Drosophila melanogaster: one gene and its partners. The protein of the gene in region 3 purifies or fractionates together with the protein of the main gene of each other region. This does not show direct contact. Each region holds a gene or a part of one and is shown on either strand. Other genes may lie near its edges.

Region 1 (7,048 bases), on a different chromosome or scaffold from region 3:
GGCTGTCCGGACATATACTAGACAGCAGTAGCCAACGGAGCAGCCAAGGGAGCAACTGCAGCCACTACCACACATAGCAGCCTTAGCGAATATTCTAAAGTTTTCAGATATCCAGCCTCCACACACAACTAACACACCACAGCGGGACACGCTCCGACTGATTTCGGAGCAGCACATACGCATATTGTAGTACCACACTTTGATCTAGAGCATATTTATATATATATATATATATAAATTAATTCCTGTAAACTAACCAAGTTTAATCCATACCCCTGCGTCGAAATGTACTTTGATTATTTCTTCCTGACTACCGGTTAACCATTTCTAGTGGCTTTCCAACAGAAGGCCAAGACAGATGATAGCTCTTAATCCTCGGTTTCCATCCAAACCCCTAGATGTCTTTTTCCTTTCCGCTGAATGCATACTTCGCCTTTGTTGTGTATATAAATATATCGAACCGAATCGAGAGAACCGAGCAAGAAGCGAGAGAATATGTTAAATGTTATAAATTTATGCAATTTATTATTAAAGTATTATTTAAATAAAGCAACAACGTGTGTGTGTATGTGTGTTCAACTGGGGTAACTGACGATGTCGCCTGGCGACACCACCTGCACACCTGCGATAAGATCCCGCCTGACTCACGCGATCGCTATCACATCCGGCTGCCAATTAGGGTGTAGATCGAATTGCCGACTAATAAATCGTGGAGGCGTAAAGTATAGAATTCTTGTTTTAATAGTTACACTTCCAAAATTTATAAAGCCCTTATCAATCGTTTTTGGTTTTCAGTTTCCTGGCTGGGGTCATTCAATTACGGCTATACTTTCTTTTAAATAAGTACAAGTGGGATCTTGACCAATAAACAAATATTTAACAGAATACATTTCAAAACTATTTTAAAATATTTTCCAATACTCCAATGCTTACTTTCCTATAAGGTTGCCACTCGTCGGGCCTCCACAGGCTGCCATCGATCAGCATTTGTTGACTACACACAATAGATAACGTTTTAGCGGAACAGAGGGCGACCCTCAGTTGTTATCTGTGGTCTGGGAGGGTTCAAATATGTCCAGCGACTTTAGAAGTGCCTCGGCCGACGGGTCGCGACCCTGGAAGCGACGGAACACTTCCGCCGTGGGCACAGATCCGCCGCAGCTGAGGAAGGTCTGCTTGTAGCGCCGGCCAACGACCGCGTAGTTCTCTTCGCTTCGCTGCTCAGCAAAGCTGCTCGAAATGTCGGCGGCTATGAGGCGGGAATACAAGTGACTGAACTGGGCGGCCGCCCAATCTCCGGCAAAAATGTCGGTCAGGGAGCACGGATGTGCGTCCTTCTTGTCCAGCGGCATGCATTGATAAACCGGCCACAGCTTGCGAACCACCTCCAGCCAGAAGGCATTCGAGCGGTGCAGCTCCACGTCGAGATCCGCCAGGTAGAGGTCCTGGCACAGATTATAGCCAGCCAACTGAGTCTTCAGCAATCGCATCTTCTGTGAAAGCTCAGCCTCCAAGGGCTCACCGCTGCTAAAGTGTCCGGATAGGCTTCGAATCACTGTGGGATCGTCGAGGAAGTTGCTCATCACATGACCGGACACTTGAGAGGCATCCCACTCGATGTTTGAGAGTCCCGCCAAATCGCTGTACCCCGCTTGGGTGAGCAGGTGTTGGAGTCCGCTTCCAAAAGTCTTGAAGAGCATCTGCAGATCATCGTATCCAAGAAGCGGGGGCTTGGCATCCGGACTTTGTGGCTCCGAAAAGTTAAATATCAGCGCACAGAGAGGCGTCAGCCCGGCAGACTTATTGCTGTTCCGTATGCCCACCATCCAACCATTGTTTCTGCCGAACTTGTGCTCCTTGGAATAGCAGTCCACATAAAAGCCACCCACCGGGGTGGAGCTATTGACGGAATCAGCATCGAACACATCGTAGAACTTAACTGCCGGATGCCACACCTCCGCATTGGGCTGCTCAACTATTTTGATGCCGAAGAGCTTTTCACTCAGCGCAAACAAGCCGGAAAGAACGCGGGGCAGTGGGAAAAACTCGCGGAGCTTCTGATCTTGGAGACCGTGCTCCGCCGCCAGTTGCTTGCGCCGCCAGTAGGCAACGTCGTAGGCTTCCAGCTTGTATTCACAGCCACTGTCCTGAGCGAAGCCCTGTAGTTTCTCCAGCTCCACACTTTGAGCAGGGCCGGCGAACTTGAGAAGCTTGGCAAAGATCTGCTTAAGGTTGTCCACACTGCCCACCATTTTGGTCTGCATGGACATGTCTGCAAAGCTTTCATAGCCCAACAGATTTGCCTGTCGCTTGCGCAAACCGCGTATTTTTTCGATGTGTGTGCTGTTCTCCAGGGATTTTTCCTGCTGCGAGGATGCCTTCAGCACACTGGCCCTCCAGACGTTCCAACGCTGCATTCGCTCTGGGCAGTGCTTTAGAAAACCATCGACCACTTGAGGCTGTAGGGTTATCTTCCAAGGACCCGTCATAGGTTGTCCGGGATCGCGGGCTGTTGCCTCAAGAAGCGAAGGCGGGAAATCTCTTACAAGATTGAAGTCCGTAATAATCTGTCCAAACGAGTGCACTGCCATGTTGACCTTGTTCTTGAAGTTGGCTCTCTCTCGACCCAAATGGGTAAGCAGCTCTTTCAGTCCATCCTGCTTATCTTTGTCCAGCGTGAGCCCGTTCAGCTTGCCCTCGAGCAGGAACTTCTGTCGCATCCTCTGCTCATCTGGACCCGAATCGGACGAAGCATCCTTGAGTGCCTTATACACCGTTTGATTGCAGAACTTCGCTGCCCGAGCGTTACGCGCTCGTTCGTGGATGTTCATGTAGGATTTGGTGGGTATCAGGGTAGAATTGCCCAGGTACAGAGCCTTGGCCACACCCCATGTCGTCTCCAGTGGACCCGTCACGGTGTCCAGCTCCCGAAAGATGCTGGCGGCATTTAGCTGCTTGCCACTGTGCAGGTCGCTCTCCAGCGCCTTCACCGAGTTCTCCACCGCCGATGCCTGCTGACCAATGGCGCCCAAGCACATCTCGATGGTGATGTCACTGAAGGCGGGAAGTCCGTCCGGCTTGAGCACGCCCTCGCCTAGCGGTCCCTCCTCACCGATCTCCGGTACCCTGCGGGGATAGGTTTAGTGACTCCACATGTTGAATCCGGGTAATTTTCGTACTTACAGCACTATGTAACCCGGCCGGTTTTCCGTTGAGTGCAGCGGAGCGCTAAGCGCGGCCCGGATGAGGGGCACCGACGTTGGGCGCCTTCGTAGGAGATTTAGCATGTCCTAGGTGAAGTCGTTAATCCAGATATGTACAATTCCGGACAGTTTGCGCCGGAATTTGGGATTCTGAAATGGGGGCCAGCGTTTACACAACACGCCTGGACCAAAAAGCAAGTGACAGCGGCCAGGGTTGCCACCATCAGCGGTGGAGCCGGCAGTGATGCGAAAATCACACTTTACTGCAGTCACTGAATCCAATCTATCCTAATCTGTGACTTCTCTTTTTTTTTTTTTTTTTTTTTTTAATTTTTATTATTTATTGAATCTTCCCTTTGTGTTAAGAGACTAACAATAAGTGTTCAAATCTTAATCTAACTTAATTAACTTTCACTTAGTGATAGTTTTTTTTTTTTCATTAATGCCCTAATAAGTTTATTGCTGGGCTGGGAGGTCGTTGCGGTGCAGCCGGCTTTGACTGCATACTCGGATTAGTTTTCTTGCGAGGGGATTTGTATGGGTGGTCAGCTTTTCGTTATACTTCGTTTTTTTCTCAGCTATTACTTCGATTACTAATTTGATTTTTAGGTCTCTGTGTATGTTTTCGTTCCGAAGGTACCACGGCGCTCCAGTGATAATTCTCAGAATTCTTGACTGTGCTCGCTGAATAATGTCTATGTTACTTCTGGATGCGTTGCCCCACAGCTCGGAGCCATAAGTCCAGATAGGTTTTAAGACGGAGTTGTATAGAAGAGCTTTGAACTCCAGACTAAGTGGAGAGCGAGCATTTATGAGCCAGTGGAGGTTCCTTGCTTTAAGTTTAAGATGTTTCGATTTGGCTTCTATATGTTTGCGCCAAGTGAGCCGCCTGTCCAGATGAACTCCCAGATATGTTACCTCGTCGGCTTGTGGAATGCATATGTTATTCAAGACCAGTGGTGGGCATGTTTGTTTGTTTAAGGTAAAGGTAACCTGCTTGCATTTTTGAACATTTATTGAAATTCTCCAGTCGGCAAGCCATCGTTCTACAGATGTTAAGTGTCGGGATAGGAGTGCCGTGGCTTTTATTGGGCATTTCGAGCGACTGAGTATCGCGGTATCATCAGCGAACGTGGAGGTTGTTAGATTGTAGTCTATGGGGAAATCCGCCGTATACAGGGTGTATAAGATTGGACCCAGTACACTGCCTTGCGGCACTCCAGCTTCGATTGCGCAATCGCGTGAAGTGCTTGTATCGCATCTTATTGCAAACACTCTGTTATATAGGTATGACTTCAGTAGCTTATGTGTGTTTTGGGGCAACAGCTTGATTATTTTAAACAAAAGTCCATCGAGCCACACTCTGTCAAATGCCTGCGCGACGTCTAGAAAAATGGCTGTGCAGTATTCTCGATGTTCAAAAGCAGTACGAATTTCTGACGTGATTCGGTTGACCTGTTCGATGGTTCCATGTTTTTCTCTAAAGCCAAATTGATGTGTTGGAAGTGTGTTGTTTATTCTAAGATGAGGGCTAATCCGAAGGAGTAGCATTTTTTCAAACAGCTTTGAAAGACATGTTAGTAAGCTTATCGGTCTATATGATGATGGCTGCGTTTTATCTTTTCCTGGCTTTGGAATCATTACTATGGTCGACTTTTTCCATTTTTGAGGGAAGTATCCAAGCTTGGCGATTGCGTTGAACAACAGGCAGATGTGAAGAATAGCACACTTTGGGAGTTCAATGAGCATTCTTGGAGTTATTAGGTCGTAGCCAGGCGATTTTCTTGGGTTCAGTTGCTCTTTGATAACCTTTGCTAGTTCACATGGTCGGAATTCAAAGGGTTCTTGAGGATCTAGATTGGCTGCTATTAAAGGAGGGAGAATAAATGTGTTGGTAGAGGGATTTGGTCGGAATACATTTTGTAAATGGTCAGCGAAAGCACTGGCTCTTTCTTCATCACTTCGAAACCAGGTGCCAGAGGGACTTCGTAGTGGCATAATTGGCGCTATTGGAGTCTTTAGGTTTCTGTGAGCTCTCCAAAGAGGGTACTTAGTGCTGGTGGGAGAGAGTTGCTCGATATATGAACGTTGGCTGTTTTTTTCCTCTTGTTTGAGAGCATTGGTAAGCCTGCGTGTGGCTATCTTAAGCATGTGCTTAGTAATTGGTGATCTATTAGACTGCCAATCCCTTCGTAGGCGTCGTTTATCTAATACCAGCCGCTCGATTTCGCGATTAGTTTTGATGTAGTTTGGTTTTGCATACGTCACTGGCGGGGTTGAAGCCTTTGCAGCCGAAACTAAAATGTTTTCAAGAGTTTCCGTTGACTTGTCTATATCCTCCTTTGTAGATAATGCCGTCGTTAGTTCTATGTGTGAACAGACATACTTTTGATACCTTGGCCAGTTTGTTCTAAAATTTGTGAGTCTATACGGTGGGTCGACGATGTGGGGGCGAGTTAGCATATTTAGAAAAACAGGTGAGTGATCTGATGATAAGTCTGCTAGTGCTTCGGCGGTGACCATGTTGCGGGGGACATGTTTAGTAATTGCAAAATCGATCAGGTCTGGGATTTTTCTTGGGTCTGCTGGCCAGTATGTAGGCTTACCCGGGGATACATAGTCTAGCTTGTTTTCTGGCTTCGTAAGCGCATTGTACAATTGCTTACCCTTTGGCGACACAAGTCGAGATCCCCAATGGGTGTGCTTGGCGTTATAGTCACCCGCTGCGATGAACCTGTCACCTAGTGTGTTAAAGAATTCCATGAATTGATCCTCAGAGATTGGAAAGCGCGGTGGGCAGTAGACTGCGGCTAGAGTCGTTGAACCATTGTTGAGTTGTAAGGCTATGGACGTAGATTGTAAGTAGTTTTTGTCAAAATTGTTTAAGTGGTGGTGTTTTATGCGATTTCTGATGAGTATTCCAGTGCCTCCATGAGCTTTACCATCTGGATGATTTGTACCATAGAACAAGTATCCTGGTATATGAAAATTGTTTTTGTTTGTGAGGTGCGTTTCTGATAGTAGCATTACGTCGATGTTTTTTTCGTAAATGAACTGTGTGAGCTCTTGTGTATGCCGTGAAACGCCATTTGCGTTCCACAGAGATATCCGTAGGGAAGCCATTATGGGGATTTTGAAGATACAAGAAGTTGAATCAGGATATTTTGGTTTTTCATGAGCTCTTGCAAAGTATTTTGCATGAACGTCATGAAGTCTTTCATGCTTTGCTGTAGGGATAGCATCATAGCTTCGATGCCACTTTGTTGTGTTTGTTGGATGTTTGTCGGTGTATGTTCGGAATGAGCAGTTCTTGTCGGTGGGGCGGGCACTTCTAGTCCGGATTTTAGGGCGCTAGCGAAAGAAATTGTTGGAGTAGTGCTTGGGACAGTTAGGGGTGGTTGAAAAATCGGTTGCGGAGAGTAGAAATTGACTTTGTTGTATGTATGTGCTGTGGCAATACGTTTGTTTAGGCGGCTCTTCAATTCTTTGTACACCACACAGCCTCTGTAGTTTGCAGTATGTTTTTCCCCGCAGTTACTGCATTTCTTCACAGACTTATCGTCCTTGTTTTTGGGGCAGTTTGCGGTAGTATGAGGTTCGCTACAGACAACACATACGGACTTAAGGGTGCAGTATGCCTTGGTGTGGCCGTATTCTTGGCAATTAGTACATTGAACTGGATTGATACGTTTGTGCGGCTCCTCCACGGTGATCCTCCGATGTAGCAAGTACTGTAAATTGTATATTGGGTGCACTTCGTTTTTCTTTAGTGCCTGGAGCTCTGGTTCGAGTTCTATTTTGAATAGTGGCTGCGGAACTTTGTCTTTGTTTAAAATATTAATAGC
Region 2 (5,563 bases), on a different chromosome or scaffold from region 3:
AGCGATTCTGCTTTACCGACGAACTAAGCACCCATCGACATGGAAGCTTTATTTACGAATCCGTCCAGAAGGTAATTCTAAAACTTATTTTTTAGATTTTCCGACATCAGCAGAACATCCAAACTGATTCCCATGATGCACGCCACGCATGGAAATAATGGAAGCAGATGCTTCTTCTAAAATCTCTGAACTTATTAGGAAGAAGACAGAGTGCAGTCCACATGCACAATGTCTTCCTTGTAAGACTCTTTCCTGGAGTTTATATTGAAGCAATTGACCATCAGCAGGCAAAGAAGTTGGGTGTCCATGGAGGCCACTCAAAGTAGGAACACTACTGAAGTGACAAAGCCTTGCCGATAGTCATGGGTCAGTAGAAGTTTATTATATTACATATCTGATAATCTGATCAGGAAAGCTGGTCACGAAAGCTGCTTAAAGTCCATCGAAATGAAATATTACTACCTTATACCATAGGTAACACGAAACACATTCATGTGTTTGATAATGGATTCAATGTTTTATTAGTTTCTCAATAATTGTTTCACACCATGTAGTGTCGTATATCAAGATTGCGTTCCCTTAGCTTCAAATCGATCCACTGCCGGTACAACTTGACGTTTGTGTAAATTCCAAGAAGTTGCGGGCCATCGCAGCGAGCCGTGCGGGTCAAAAGACCGGCCAGGTGGAAACGATCATCGTGACCGGAAAGAGGACACATCAGCGGCACAGCGGTCATGTCCACATCACCGCAGACGAAGTCACCCTTGTCGCCGCCGGCACACAGCAGGCTATCGTTGTGGGCGTGGCGTCGCCCCAAGAGGGACAATCGCAACTTGGTCCTGCATTGATCGGGTGGTAGGACGTAGAGTGTCCAACGCTTGGGCAGGATTGCAGCTCTACCAAAATCACTCCTCTGCCAACCGGACACATAGCACTGGCTGTAGTTGTACATTATTCGCGGAGGCGGCAAGCAAATGGGCTGTACATTAGGAGCCAGCTGGAAAGGTTTCTCCTTGTCCACCAGAAGTATCGCTATGTTGTGGGCCAATGGCATTTGAGTGTAATTGGGATGCACTAATGTCTCAACAACCGATCTTTGCTGGTGCGGCTGGGGCTCCAGCTCCACGGCGGCATCCCATTCCCCGGCCAACAGACGAACCTTCTCCATTTCCGAATTCTGAACGCAGTGCGCGGTGGTGATCACCGCCAGCGGAGTGATAAGTGCTCCACTGCAGAGATAAGTATCCGACCCGTAGACCGCCACCAACCAGGGAAACTCCCCGAACTTGGCCTCTTGCTGTTTATATCCCAGCGGTCGAAGGTAGTACCAGAGATCATGGCGTCCTCCACACGGGCAGCTCATCATCTCCTCTGGAATTTTCGGAGTCGGGAGCTGTTGGTATAAAAGTTCGACTTTTAAAAACTTATTGATTTGATTTTACTTCAGGCAATTAAATGAAATTAAGTTAAATATAACAACAGTGTTAAGTGCTTGGCCGCTAGAAACTGAAAAACAAACGAATTTTTTTCGTAATATGGGTAAAATATATCATACAAATTTAAATTGTCAGCTAGCATAAAAAAATGGTTGATTTCTTTGCATCAGGTAGGGAATAAAAGAATTTTTTCGATAAATCGCTTTATTTTTTTGACCGGTTGTAACCAGTTAATCATTAAATGTGGCTGCAATTCAGAAAGCCAACCGGTTTAAAATCCAAAAGGTATTAAATTTAAGAGCGTCGAATCAAGGATTGTTTGTTTTTTTATTTGATTTAATTCCAATGCGATTTAAACCATTTTTTTAGTCAAGTTTTTGATACCGCATTCCGGAAAACTTTATGAAAATCGTAACTTTTTCAATACTCACTTTATCGGGGATATTACAGCACTTTTCCATATAGTGACAATTCTCATCCAAAGTCGTTCTGCTGCGATCCGGATAGAATTTTCCGTCCACCATTAAGCCCTCGTTGCACTGCTCGTAGGGAACGCAATGCTTTTCCGGTCCGCAGACTTTGGATGCCGCTATGGAGGGCACTAGGGAGCCTAGAAGACAGATGACCACAATCCGATAGAAGCACATATCCGAGGATTCCGATTCCGATTCCGTCCCTGAACAGGTGCCTTCGCCTTGCACTTGAACTGCGCAACTGGGCGACCGATGGCTTTTATAGCCTCGCCAAAGTTCAAGCCGTACACACCGATTTGATTGGGCAAAAAATAGATTGCGATCCATTAAAGTGCTAAAAATAGTCGACATTGTGCTGGGAAAAAAGGGGCTGGACCTGGACAATATGACAATTGGTTTCGGCGGCAATGCACTGAGAAAATATAATCACAGTTTATAATACATTCTAGGCCAGCAAATGGTATTTGCAGTTATTGGTTCTAGCAAAAGATAGATTTGATAGATAGTTCTGTCCTTAAAGATACTTTGTGAAGTTGTCCCTTGGAAAGGGTATCCACTCTATGCCCAATTACGCAGATGTATCTGGCACTTTCCTTAGTCTGCCGCCACTTACACGTATCCATATCTATTACATTCGAATGGGACTGAAAGTGGGGGAGGATGCGGATCAGCTGTGCACTGGCTTAGGGATTGTGTCATATCTTAATGTACAATCGTCGCCTAAGTGCACGTAAATTGAATAAAATTTCGACAAAGTTTAATACACCAGACATGCACATGCACACAACACTCTGAGGAAAATGAGGTGGCGACAAGATGGCTTGGGTTTTTCCGGGCAGAAATCTGCAGTTTGCCTGCCATTCGATAGACAACACCCAGCTTTCAGCATCTGGACAAATGTATATATATATATATATATTTGATGCACCGACTTGTTTAGCTGAGATTTACGCAACTTAAGCAGATTGTCAACAGGAATTGTGAGGTATGAGTTCGAATCGAGGACCCTGAGGTGGGCGAACAAGAATGCCAGGAGGAGAGTACATGCGTCAAATGTGTAGAAAGTTAACGTGTCCTGTGCCTGCCTGCTGGTCCTGTGCGAAACTTAATTTGTTCCATCGTGTTGCAACACTTCTGAACAGATGTTATCCTCGAGGAAATGAATCCTGTTATTGTTGCTGGCCGTCCACTTAAAACAGATTTATGAACATGTCACACCCTCTTCACTCGCCATCGATTCCCCCTTGCGGTGGCAAATATTCAATTATTATGAAAATTTATTATTCAACCAATTGTGCTGGGCGGATCGGAAGTTCATTTTGCATGAATGGGATCAAAACTGTTTGTAAATTGTGCTGTGCATCCGTATGAATCGCTTTTTATGCGCCAATAATACATATACCAACCGCAAAATGCCATCATCAAAGGATGGTTCTTATGCAATTTGCAATCACAATTTAAATAGATAAAGTATAAGCAATTGCATTAACATATTAATATATAGCATTAATCGAATCCTTGTGGTGTGAATTAAATGCCAGTCATAAAAAATTCGAATTTTAAGAAAATTTAATTGTGACTATATGAATGCTTCCATGCCAATAATACAGTTCCATATATTAAATATAATTCAGAGAATTAAACATATTAAATTAGTCTAACCACAGTAACTTTAAGCATTGATAAGTGTCACTAAAATGGCATTTAACATTTGAGTATTATTTCTGCAACTTTTTAAACTCATTCTCAGTTTTTTGTCTCAATTGAGTGTTTTGATTGAGTGGGTGTTTTTAACTCTCTTAGCTGCATATTCCTCCCTTAAATGCAGTTTTTTTTAGCTCAACTACCAATTGAGTGAATGTTAACGGAATGTTAACTGCAATCTCAAGACTCAAGCGCAGTTCTGAGTGAGTCAAATATGTGGCTTTGAGTGGAACAGACTAAGCTCATAAGAGTCATGAGCAGTATTTTGACGATTCTTTTGCCCAACCATGATATAAAATAATAATGACATATTTATTTTCAAAATGTTGGTATAATAATAAGCTATTAACTATCAAATAGCTATTGATATACATTCGTTTTCCCCATTCTCTGCTCGAAAAAATATAGTTTTGAAATTTGAAAGCTGGAATTGTTAGCCCATCAAAATGCTAAATTACTTAGTTCTTTCTGTACCTGGTAATTAAATAAACTTTGTGATTCGTATTTGATTTTACATATACTACGTTTGCTTTTATTTCAACTCAGATCAGAGGATAGCTTGAACATAAAATGGCCTACAAGCAATAGTATTTTAAGTCGTAATTGTAACTACTAAAAGATTAGGGGATTACATTTAGTACATGTCTTATACGGATTTTATTTGAGTAGAAATTAGTCAAGGCAACACGGAACTATCGTAAATTTCAACTATTCTAGAAAATTGAAATATTTAAGCATAGTAACGGTGCTCTCGAAACTAAACAAAAGGGCTTTAACATTGTAAAATAGAAAAATATAGCATGGAAACTTTCGTGTGTATAGACGTATTATAAAACCAGCATAAGACATGCCTATTGTGGATGTGTTATCTTATACTGCCTTATAAGGAAGTAGTATGATGCGAAGCGCTCCCCCTTCTTCATCGTCCCTCAGAGCACTAAGTCCAAATTAATCTTCCTCATCCTGTCCCAATCCCAGTCGCTGCCACTAGACGCTTTGTCACAGAGTGTCGTTGAACAAGCGCTTGGCCTTGTAGCTCGGATGAATCGGTCCCGGTATCCAGTGTGGCTTAAGGGCACTCTTACCGGGCAACCGATTCGCGTCGTAGGGCACCTGCGGAGACAGCTTCAGCTGGCGGTAGTAATCGCTCTTGGGGTAGATGCAGTTGCTCTTAGTCACGATCCGCACATGCTTGCCACTGCCCGTTTGTGGAGTCGCAAACTCTGCGCGCGCAGGCTGTTTGGGTGTGGACTGCGGCAGCTTACTGTTGGCCTGCTTCACTTGCAGTTTTCGAGAGGGAACAAAGATGTCCTGCTCACCGTCCTCTAAAGGGGCATCCCATCCGTTGGTCGGAGCATCATCATCAACACCGGCAGCCTTCGTTTTGGGAGTCGGCTTGGCCTTGGACTGTCCCTCCACCTTAGGTGTGGGCTTGGGCTGCTCGTCTGTCTTCGGCTTCGACTGCTCCTCCTTCGTCTTGGAGTGGTCCAATTTCTTGCGCTTCGCAGGCTCTTCTTTTTCTGCCTTCAAGGTCGGTTGATCCTCTATCTTGGGCTTGGACTGGTCATTCTTCGGCTTAAGCTGGCTTTTCTTCTTCACCTTCGTCTGGTCATCTTTGTTCTGCTGTGGCGGTTCTTCCTTTTTTGCTTTCTTCGACTTGGGCTCGGCCTCCTTGACCTCCTCTACTACCCATGCGTTGTTTATGCTAGAACGCACCTTTGCATTGTAATTCACCTTCTTCTGCAGCTCAGGAGGCAGAGCCTTGCTAATAACCTCATCGTAGTTGTGCTCGTCCACCTCCTCAAAGTTAATGGACTGCAGTAGGCGTTTGCGTTTGGATTTGTTGAGCTTCTTCAGTTTTCTTCCGGTTGCAAAGACCTCGTCCTCCATCTTATCTAAGGCAGCCACTTTTTGCTCCACCATTTCGGACAGAGTTTGTCCCTCCACCTT
Region 3 (8,287 bases):
TCATTTACAGAGCTATTATAGCTTAGCCATATCGTTATTTGCGCAGTGACTATATGGTGGGGACTATGCGGGTCCTGAGGGACTATGACGCATGAAGATGCGTGAGAGCATTGCAAGATACACTAAAAGACAGAGTAATGGTGGAATACTGTTCGATTTAATCAGAAAAAATTAGGAAGATGTAAAATTAAAAGAGCTTGAGCAAGGCAAGGGATGCCGATGATATTGTTTACAGAAAATTGAATAGAAACATGAAATATTATGGTAAGTTAAAAACTGAATGATAAAAAAATAAAATGTTATCTTAAGTGTATGACATGTATGTCGTGTCGGAGAACATGTAGGTCTAACATATTATTTTGAATGTAACTGAAACTACATATGTTATTGTTATTAAGATTAAAGAGCGATTATTGATTAGGGAGAGTTTACAGTTATTAAGAGGGCATTTGTGGGTATACTCAAATGAGCATGGCGCCTAGTGTCGTTTGGCAGAGTTTAATGGTGACAAAAATGACGACGAAATATGAAAAAAAGTGACAGAGCAATTCTCACGTAAGTTAGTCTAGTGAGAACGATTGAACAGACAACGCGCAAGCTACTTGCTGTGCCACTTAACATAGACAGTGAAGACGAAGAAGCAAATATCCGTCAAATTATAATACATTTATATTATATTTATACATACATACCAAACACCAAACTAACAGAACAAAACTAAACAAATTTTGCAACGTTTTAAAATTTTTGTTTTTAAATTATCAGTGAAACTTAAGTAATAAAAGATGGTATTAATAAAAAAAAAACGGTTAGGATAGTTCATTTGCTTATTTAAAGAAAAATGATTAAAAATATAAATGTGAAATAGGAAAAAAAAATTACCCGGTCATAAAGTAATAGTAAATAATAGTAGTTAATATTTTAAAAATTATTACAGCCAGAATATAGTTTCAGGACTGAATGAATGATTAAATAAGGGCATATTTATGGTTATTGTAGTATTTTGTTCCATATCCTTAGTTTTTATTTAAGGTCGCACAGCTCCATTACATCCGGGCTCCAGATTTACATCTTGCAAAATTTAAAAGTTATCACTTGCTTTTATGACCGAGACTTCTCCCAGCGCAACACATTAGGCCACTCCATGACATAGACTGGATTAGCTACGAAGCACTATTTGGGAAGTGTACTTGTATATTTTTGGTCATTGTATTGTTAAAACGTCCTCTAATGCATATGGGAGCATCACCTTCTTAAATGTTTCGACGTATAGATAACGATCAGTGATGGTTTTGATCCTATAAGTCACCTAAAATACTAACTTGAGTCACTGCCGTCAAAACAAAAATATTTTCGCCTTAACCGACCCCAAGATTTTACTCCTCTGCACCAATTCAAGCGATCTCACGCAAACCTAAATCATTAGGCTTCATGTTTTTTTCTGAGTAATGCCGCTTTTTTTTTTTGGCCTCTTGAAATGAGGATCTGGATCGAGTCGTCTTCTAATTACTAATAAACTTACATTTTTCGAAGAAACAGACCCGAAAGTCGGAATCCTAGATTGTCCTCCTAAGCAACGATCTCACCTTTTGGTCAATAACTGCTAAGTTACTAAAGTGAAAAAATTTAATTAATTAAGTAAAGGAATGGAGAAAATAATGAGAAATAACTTTTTGCTTGACCGGCTTTAGTATTATTTAGACCGCACCCGTGCATACATATTGTATATACAGGGTGCGGCAGCAAAACTTCCTTTTTTAAATGCGCGCCATTCAGTTAGTTGATGTCATAGCGGAGCACTAATGGCCCCGTTCAAGAGGGGCTACTGCAAAGCTTTGTCCCGACACGGTTCAGTCGCCATCTTGCGTTGGAATAGTGAGGAGCGCGCCTTTGCCGTTGTGGCCTACTTTTCAAGCGGATGTTCGGTTATTAAAACACAGCGTGCATTTCGGTATCGCTTTAATTTAGCACTGTTGGCTCCTGTCCCTGAACGCAAATCAATTGTTACATGGGTCACTACATTCAGGCAAACTGCAAGCGCGACAAAACGAAGAACTGGAGTCCCTCGACCCGTTAGATCACCTGAGAACATTGAAGCAGTGAGAGCGCCAATATTGCGATCTCCACAGCGTTCTGCGCTCAAACACGCGTCTGACCTTTGACTATGACTATCCGATCGTTCTGGGAGAAGAATTCTTTATGATGACCTTAAATTCCATCGGTATGAGATGGCGATAGTGCAGGAATTTCACAACGTGTTTATGTGAACCGTCCAAGAACGCTAAAAGAGTTGAAAACCATCATCATCATAACACCTGCTATGCTAACAAGAGTCACGACAAACGCCAGAAATCGGTTTACGCAATGTATGGAGAATGGGGGACGTCACCTATCAGATTTCATCTTCAAAAAAATATAAATAAAAACTTTGGAACTACATTTACATTTACCTAAATTATAAAAATAAATAATTATTTTCCGATGCCCACAATAGTTTATATTGAGTTCTGAAAGAAGGAAATTATGCTGCCTGTAGCATATCAAAAATTTAATATGGAGAACACACATTATATACAATACATATGTATCTGAAGTGCACATTACTAATATTAAGTATTATATATGAAAATACCAACTATTTGAATAATTTTGTGCAACTCGAATTTTATTAATAGAATAATACAAGTTAATTATGATTTTTTTTTAAATAAAATATTTCCAGCTTGAAAATCGTGTTCTCGCATAAGTAAGCCCGCATACAGTATTTTTTGTGGTTTGGGTTTTAAGCAATGGTATAATTTACAGACATCGCATTTTTTGTCGGCACCCAAAAAGTAGGTGCACGGTGAAAACCAAATATATAGGAGATACGTTATTGATTATTTGCCAAATTACGGCTTCTCCCACATTTTCGAAAAATGTTAATTTGTTGTATTTTATGTGGCGTTGTATATTTCCTCCTCCTCTGATTATTTATTATTATTATGCTTTTTGATTAGATTAAAAACTCAAGTCAGATAAAATTCACTTCTACATTCAGACAAATATTTAGATTTTAGTTACCTGGACACTTATTAATTTTGTCGCTTTCCTTGTAGTCCTGATTCGTGCGCCAACTAACTGTTGCACTTAGACTTTCATTATCATTTTTATCCACCTGGAGCTCGGCAAGTTTTTCATTTAAACCCTGTTCTCTGCGCCCCTTATCCTGTTTTCGAGCGAGAGCCAATCTTTGCTCAATCTCCAACTCCCTTGCTGCTGTATCTACCGGTTTTGCAGACCCAAACACGTTTAATGATGAAGTTCCGCCTTGTTTATCCAAATTAAATTCATCAACGTCACATTTTTCGAATTCAATTGTCTTTACATCTGGCAATGGTAAAGTTCTTGGTTTTAAATTCAATTTTGGCCTTTCTTCTTCAACTTTGGATGTCTCTTCTCGGGAATATCTGTCTGCTATTTTGACTCGACCTTCGCGATATTTTTCAGATACTTGTTCAACTTCTCTGCGTGTAGGGGAAGTATCAATAGATTGCGGCCTTGCGCTCGTGCGCCAAGATCCAGGAGTGTTCACATCATCTCTATCTGGTAAAGATTTTCTCTCTCTATTAAAGCTTCTTTCAAAATTGGAAGAATAACCAAAGTTACTGCCGTTGTTTTGGCTGTCTCGCCTCCAATTTCCGGAATCCCTATTATCTCCATTATTTCCAAAACCATCAAACCGCCTATTACTTTTTTGGCGGCTTTGCTGGTCGTTTTCATTCGATAGCTCAATGCGAATGCGGCGACCTTTAATAGAGGGGTCTGGCAAGCTAAGTACATGAATTAAATCCTCTCGATTTTCCAACTCCACATAGCCAAAGCCTCTGGAACGACCATTTTCGCCATCTTCTCTTGGTAGTCTCAGAGATATTAAATTAATACCTTCAAAGAACTCGTAGAGGTCATCTTCATTTGCGTCAAATGGTAAATTATTGATATAAGCAATAAATGGGGCTTTATGAGGAATAGAATTATCGTCGAATATCCGATTTGCCCTCGGAGCGGTTGGAAGCTGATAAACCAACGGCAATGTACCACTTCCATCATCGCTATCATCGCCATCTAAATTTCGTATTTTTTTTGAGACTTGGGTTGTTCCGACTGGAGCGTCAGAATTACATAGAAATGATTGCAAGGAGATAACTGTTCCTTTATTCTTTTTGCCCTTCTTTCCTGAAAAATAAAATAAAATATTAAATTGAAATACATACTTAAGTAGAAATGATGACCAACCAATATATACAATAAAATATTATGTTAAGCAAGATTACACATATGCATGCAGGTGGACATGTGTTCCTTTTACATTACGTGTCAAGAAAAAATCCATGCGGAACCACACAATCTCACAATTAAATTACTACCTTTTTACAATTAATAAAAAAAATTTAAACTTTAAACTTAGATATTATAAAAAAAATTTCTAACCTGCGGACGCCATTTCAACCAATGTTTCCAATCTTTAATTTTGATAATTTACCGAATTCACAAAAATAGAGAAATCAATTTTCCTATATCGTTATCGATATTTATTTCGGGCTTAACTGCACTATTTTGACAACTGGTAATACCCAAAACCCAAAGAGCACATCCTAAAGAAACAGTTGGAAATTTTGACATATGTGAAAATCCGATACTTAGAATAAAATTGAATATTCCAGTAAAGTTTGATGACTTTTCTGTTTTTATTTTAAGCTCAAATATTAAGACACAATTTACTATGTATGTATATGTTTTAATCAAAGTTACTTGTCGCTCTCTTTCAAATTCGTTCATTTTTGTATGCTTTTTATGGCTAACATTGACTATGTACCGTAGTACGGAAATGTTTTCTAAATATGAATAGTAAAAAAATTTGTTTATTTGAACCTTAGTGTTAATATTTTTTTTCTAAATATGAAACAAATTTTAATACATACAATATAAAATAAAATTGTATCATGTAAATTCTTAGCACGATAAATTACTTAGTTTTGTTTTCAAATATAGTTAATAATAGCCTACTCGCTGCACAAGGCAGCTTTGTTGGAATGTAGGAATATAGAGTTCTTTAACAAAAAGCCAAAATTAATTTCCATGATTATGTGGAGCAATTAGTTCGTTTCAACAATTGTAGTACAGCTTACAATGATTTTCTTTTAATAGGGCCTGAGTGGTGTAAACTCCTGCATTTGACAATATATTATGAGCCTAATCATAATCTAACTTGCAGTCTAAGCTGGCGATGTTCCTTATTCCACTTTCCATTTTTTGCGACCCAGTGGAAAGTTCGGAAGAGTTTGTGAGAAATAATTGTTGTGTAGTGATATTTTATCCACATAACAAGAAAAAAGGTTGTTTCCATAACATAAACGCGTGCATGGTTTTCAATAAATTACAATGTACTATATGTATATACCCGTTACTCCTAGAGTAAAATGGTGTATTAGATTTGTTGAAAAGTAAGAAAAAACGTATCTTACGATTTCGATTTGCAATCGAAAAATCGGTGCTGAGGTTTTTGAAATGATAACAATTTTTCGATTTGTAAAACCGGCACTTTTGTCTGGCCGAAATGAAAAGTAAATATCTTTTTTATATCAAAAAATATAAAAATAGTTTACTCAGTAGTCTTTTGATGTTTATTCCACATCACCATAATATCATTCTCCCACTTAGTTATGTTATTAAAAATTTATTTCTGACCCCACCTCAAATTTTACAAACAAAATTTAGTAGCCTGTATATTCTTAATCAGGATCAATAGCCGAGTCGATCTGGCCATGTCCGTCTGTCTGTCTGTCCACTGTATCAACAACGGGATCTCTCAACTATAGAAGCTAAAGAGTTGAGATAAAGTATACAGGTTCCACAGACATAGAGCCCACTCTAACGCCCACTAACGTCCCAAAACTGACACGCTCTCACTTTTAAGCAATATACATATATAACAATAATATATCGAAATTCCAGAAAAATTATGACATTTCGCGTTCGCAGTCCCAGTACATAAGTAACGGGTATCTGATACTCGGAGAACTCGACTATTGAATTCTCTCTTCTTTTATATTATTAATTTAATTAATTAATTAATTAATTTATATTAATTAATTGTATTAATTATTCCCAATACAGATTTTTGTCTTTCGTCTATCATAGTATAAATAAGCAAAATAAACCAACACGGCTACTGATCAATTTATATACTTCTAGTTGAATAAAATATAAAAAGAGAATGCTTACAGAAGCATTTATGGGAATGCATCCAGAATTCCGGAATAATTCCACTTCCAATGTATTACAACAAGTTACCTTTAATGATTGCTTCTATATTGTTGATTGTAAAATGAATTCATTTCCTGAAAATTATACTCGAAAATAAAGTATCTTAAAGTACGTTCGTTGAAAGTATGTAACAGGCAGAAGTACGCGTTTCCGACCATATAAAGTACATTTGTACATTCTTGATGAGGATCAATAGCCGAGTCGATATGGCCATGTCCGACTGTCCGTAGAACGTCGAGATCTCAGGAACTATAAAAGCTAGAAAGTTTGCGATTCAGCATACAGTTTCTGGAGATATAAACGAAGCGAAAGTTTGTCGACACATTTTGCCACGCCCACTCTAACAACCGCACAAACCGCCCAAAACTGCCACACCTACATTTTTGAAATTTTTTTTTGATATTTTTTTCATAATTTTATTAGCTGTGTAAATTTTTATCGACCTGCCAAAAAACTTTACCGCGCCCACATTTTTGAACCATTTTTGGATATTTTTCATAGTTTTATAAGTCGTGTAAATTTCTATCGATTTTTAATTTTTTCTCATTTTATACCCCATATCGATATCCCAGAAAAATTATGAAATTTTGCTTTCGCATTCACACCAGCTAAGTAGCGAGTTGGGAAAGTCGGGGAACTCGACTATAGCATTCTTTCTTGTTCTGACTCAGTACTTACGATAAGCAAATGGTAAAGCGAAAACAAGCAGAAAAACTAGCGCAAGCATTTTTGTTGTTGCGTTTCTCTTACCTGCATTTTCAATTTTGAATCGTTAGGTTCGTCAGTATTTTCTTGTGTCTCCAAAATATTTTCTGAGTGCTTTTAAATTTGTCTTTTTATTATGGAAGTAAGTATCGTTTTATTAATAAACTGTACAAATATTACATTTTATTTTTTTTATTTTCTACTTTATTGTTATACCCGTTATTCGTAGAATAAAGTGGTACACTAGGTTCGTTGAAATGTATGAAAAAGGTAGAAGGAAGCGTTCCCGACCTTATAAAGAATATATATTTCTGATCGGGATCAATAGCCGAGTCGATCTGACCCTGTCCGTCTGTCTGTCCGTTCATATGAACGTCGAGATCTCATAAACTATAATCAAAGCTAGAAGAAAGCTGAGAATAAGCATACAGATTCTAGTGACAAAGTCACACTACCGCTCTTGTTAATTTCCACTCTAACGCCCACAAACTGCCCAAAATTGCCACGCCCACATTTTTGCAAAATTTGAAATTCTTTCATATACATATTAGACTTAAAAGTTTCTATCGATCTGCCAAAAAACGTTTTGCTGCATTCACTTTAACGCCTACAAGCCCCCCAAGCCATGCCCACACTTTTGAACAATTTTTGTTTATTTGACTTGGGAAAACTTTAGAAACACTCAATATAATTTTATGTTAGCCGGATTTCAGATCGAGGGTCGTAAAGTATTTGGTCTTGCCAATATGGGCATCCTCATCAATTGAAAAGCTGATTACATCATTAACATAGACGTAACTGAAATGGAAGTCAACGGAACTCATACTTGTGTCGCGTTCGCAATCGTCGATCGAGATATTATGGTAGCCGGACTTCAGATTGAGCGTCGTAAAGTGTTTGGTCTTGACCAGATCGACCAAAATCATTGAGATATTTGGCATGGTGTACCTGTCGGATTCCGTCCGTATCTTTTGAAAGTCTGATAGCAAACGCATTTTCCTTTTTCCCTATTCGTAAGTGTGCTTTTTAACCGTAGTATGTGTCGTAACACATACTGGGTTATTGTAGGGGGGCTTCAAATTTTGGAAAGTGCCGTTTCTAAGCACTACCTGAATCTCGCCGTTGACGAACTCTTCGATACGGTCAATCGTTTTTTTCCTGTTTTCGAGCACCTTGAATAAGCGCCTTTAACCAAAGCCCGAGCCATCTACGTAAATTAAATTGACATCGGGGCAGGTGTGGTAGTCATTTTGAACTATTTCGGTGTCCCATTTGA

The links. Proteins that work in one complex are often made in the same cells at the same time.
Region 1: the proteins of eIF4B (region 3) and CG11771 purify together in Drosophila melanogaster (affinity purification with mass spectrometry, with the first as the bait; one large-scale study listed by BioGRID). This does not show direct contact.
Region 2: the proteins of eIF4B (region 3) and CG9377 purify together in Drosophila melanogaster (affinity purification with mass spectrometry, with the first as the bait; one large-scale study listed by BioGRID). This does not show direct contact.

Annotation. Positions count from the first base shown.
Region 1 is NT_033777.3:24,928,372-24,935,419, reverse strand, and holds CG11771 (uncharacterized protein), read right to left. Parts: upstream 3,411-7,048; 5' UTR 3,288-3,410; coding exon 3,184-3,287; intron 3,127-3,183; coding exon 1,038-3,126; 3' UTR 501-1,037; downstream 1-500. Other genes in the region: Osbp (oxysterol binding protein), read left to right, coding at 1-21.
Region 2 is NT_033779.5:13,359,401-13,364,963, forward strand, and holds CG9377 (uncharacterized protein), read right to left. Parts: upstream 2,166-5,563; 5' UTR 2,084-2,165; coding exon 1,868-2,083; intron 1,394-1,867; coding exon 542-1,393; 3' UTR 501-541; downstream 1-500. Other genes in the region: Nnp-1, read right to left, coding at 4,613-5,563.
Region 3 is NT_037436.4:27,853,721-27,862,007, forward strand, and holds the start of eIF4B (eukaryotic translation initiation factor 4B), read right to left. Parts: upstream 4,552-8,287; 5' UTR 4,484-4,551; coding exon 4,471-4,483; intron 4,216-4,470; coding exon 3,064-4,215; coding exon of another isoform or gene 3,056-3,063; exon of another isoform or gene 2,988-3,055; coding exon of another isoform or gene 2,983-2,987; exon of another isoform or gene 2,646-2,982; intron 1-2,645.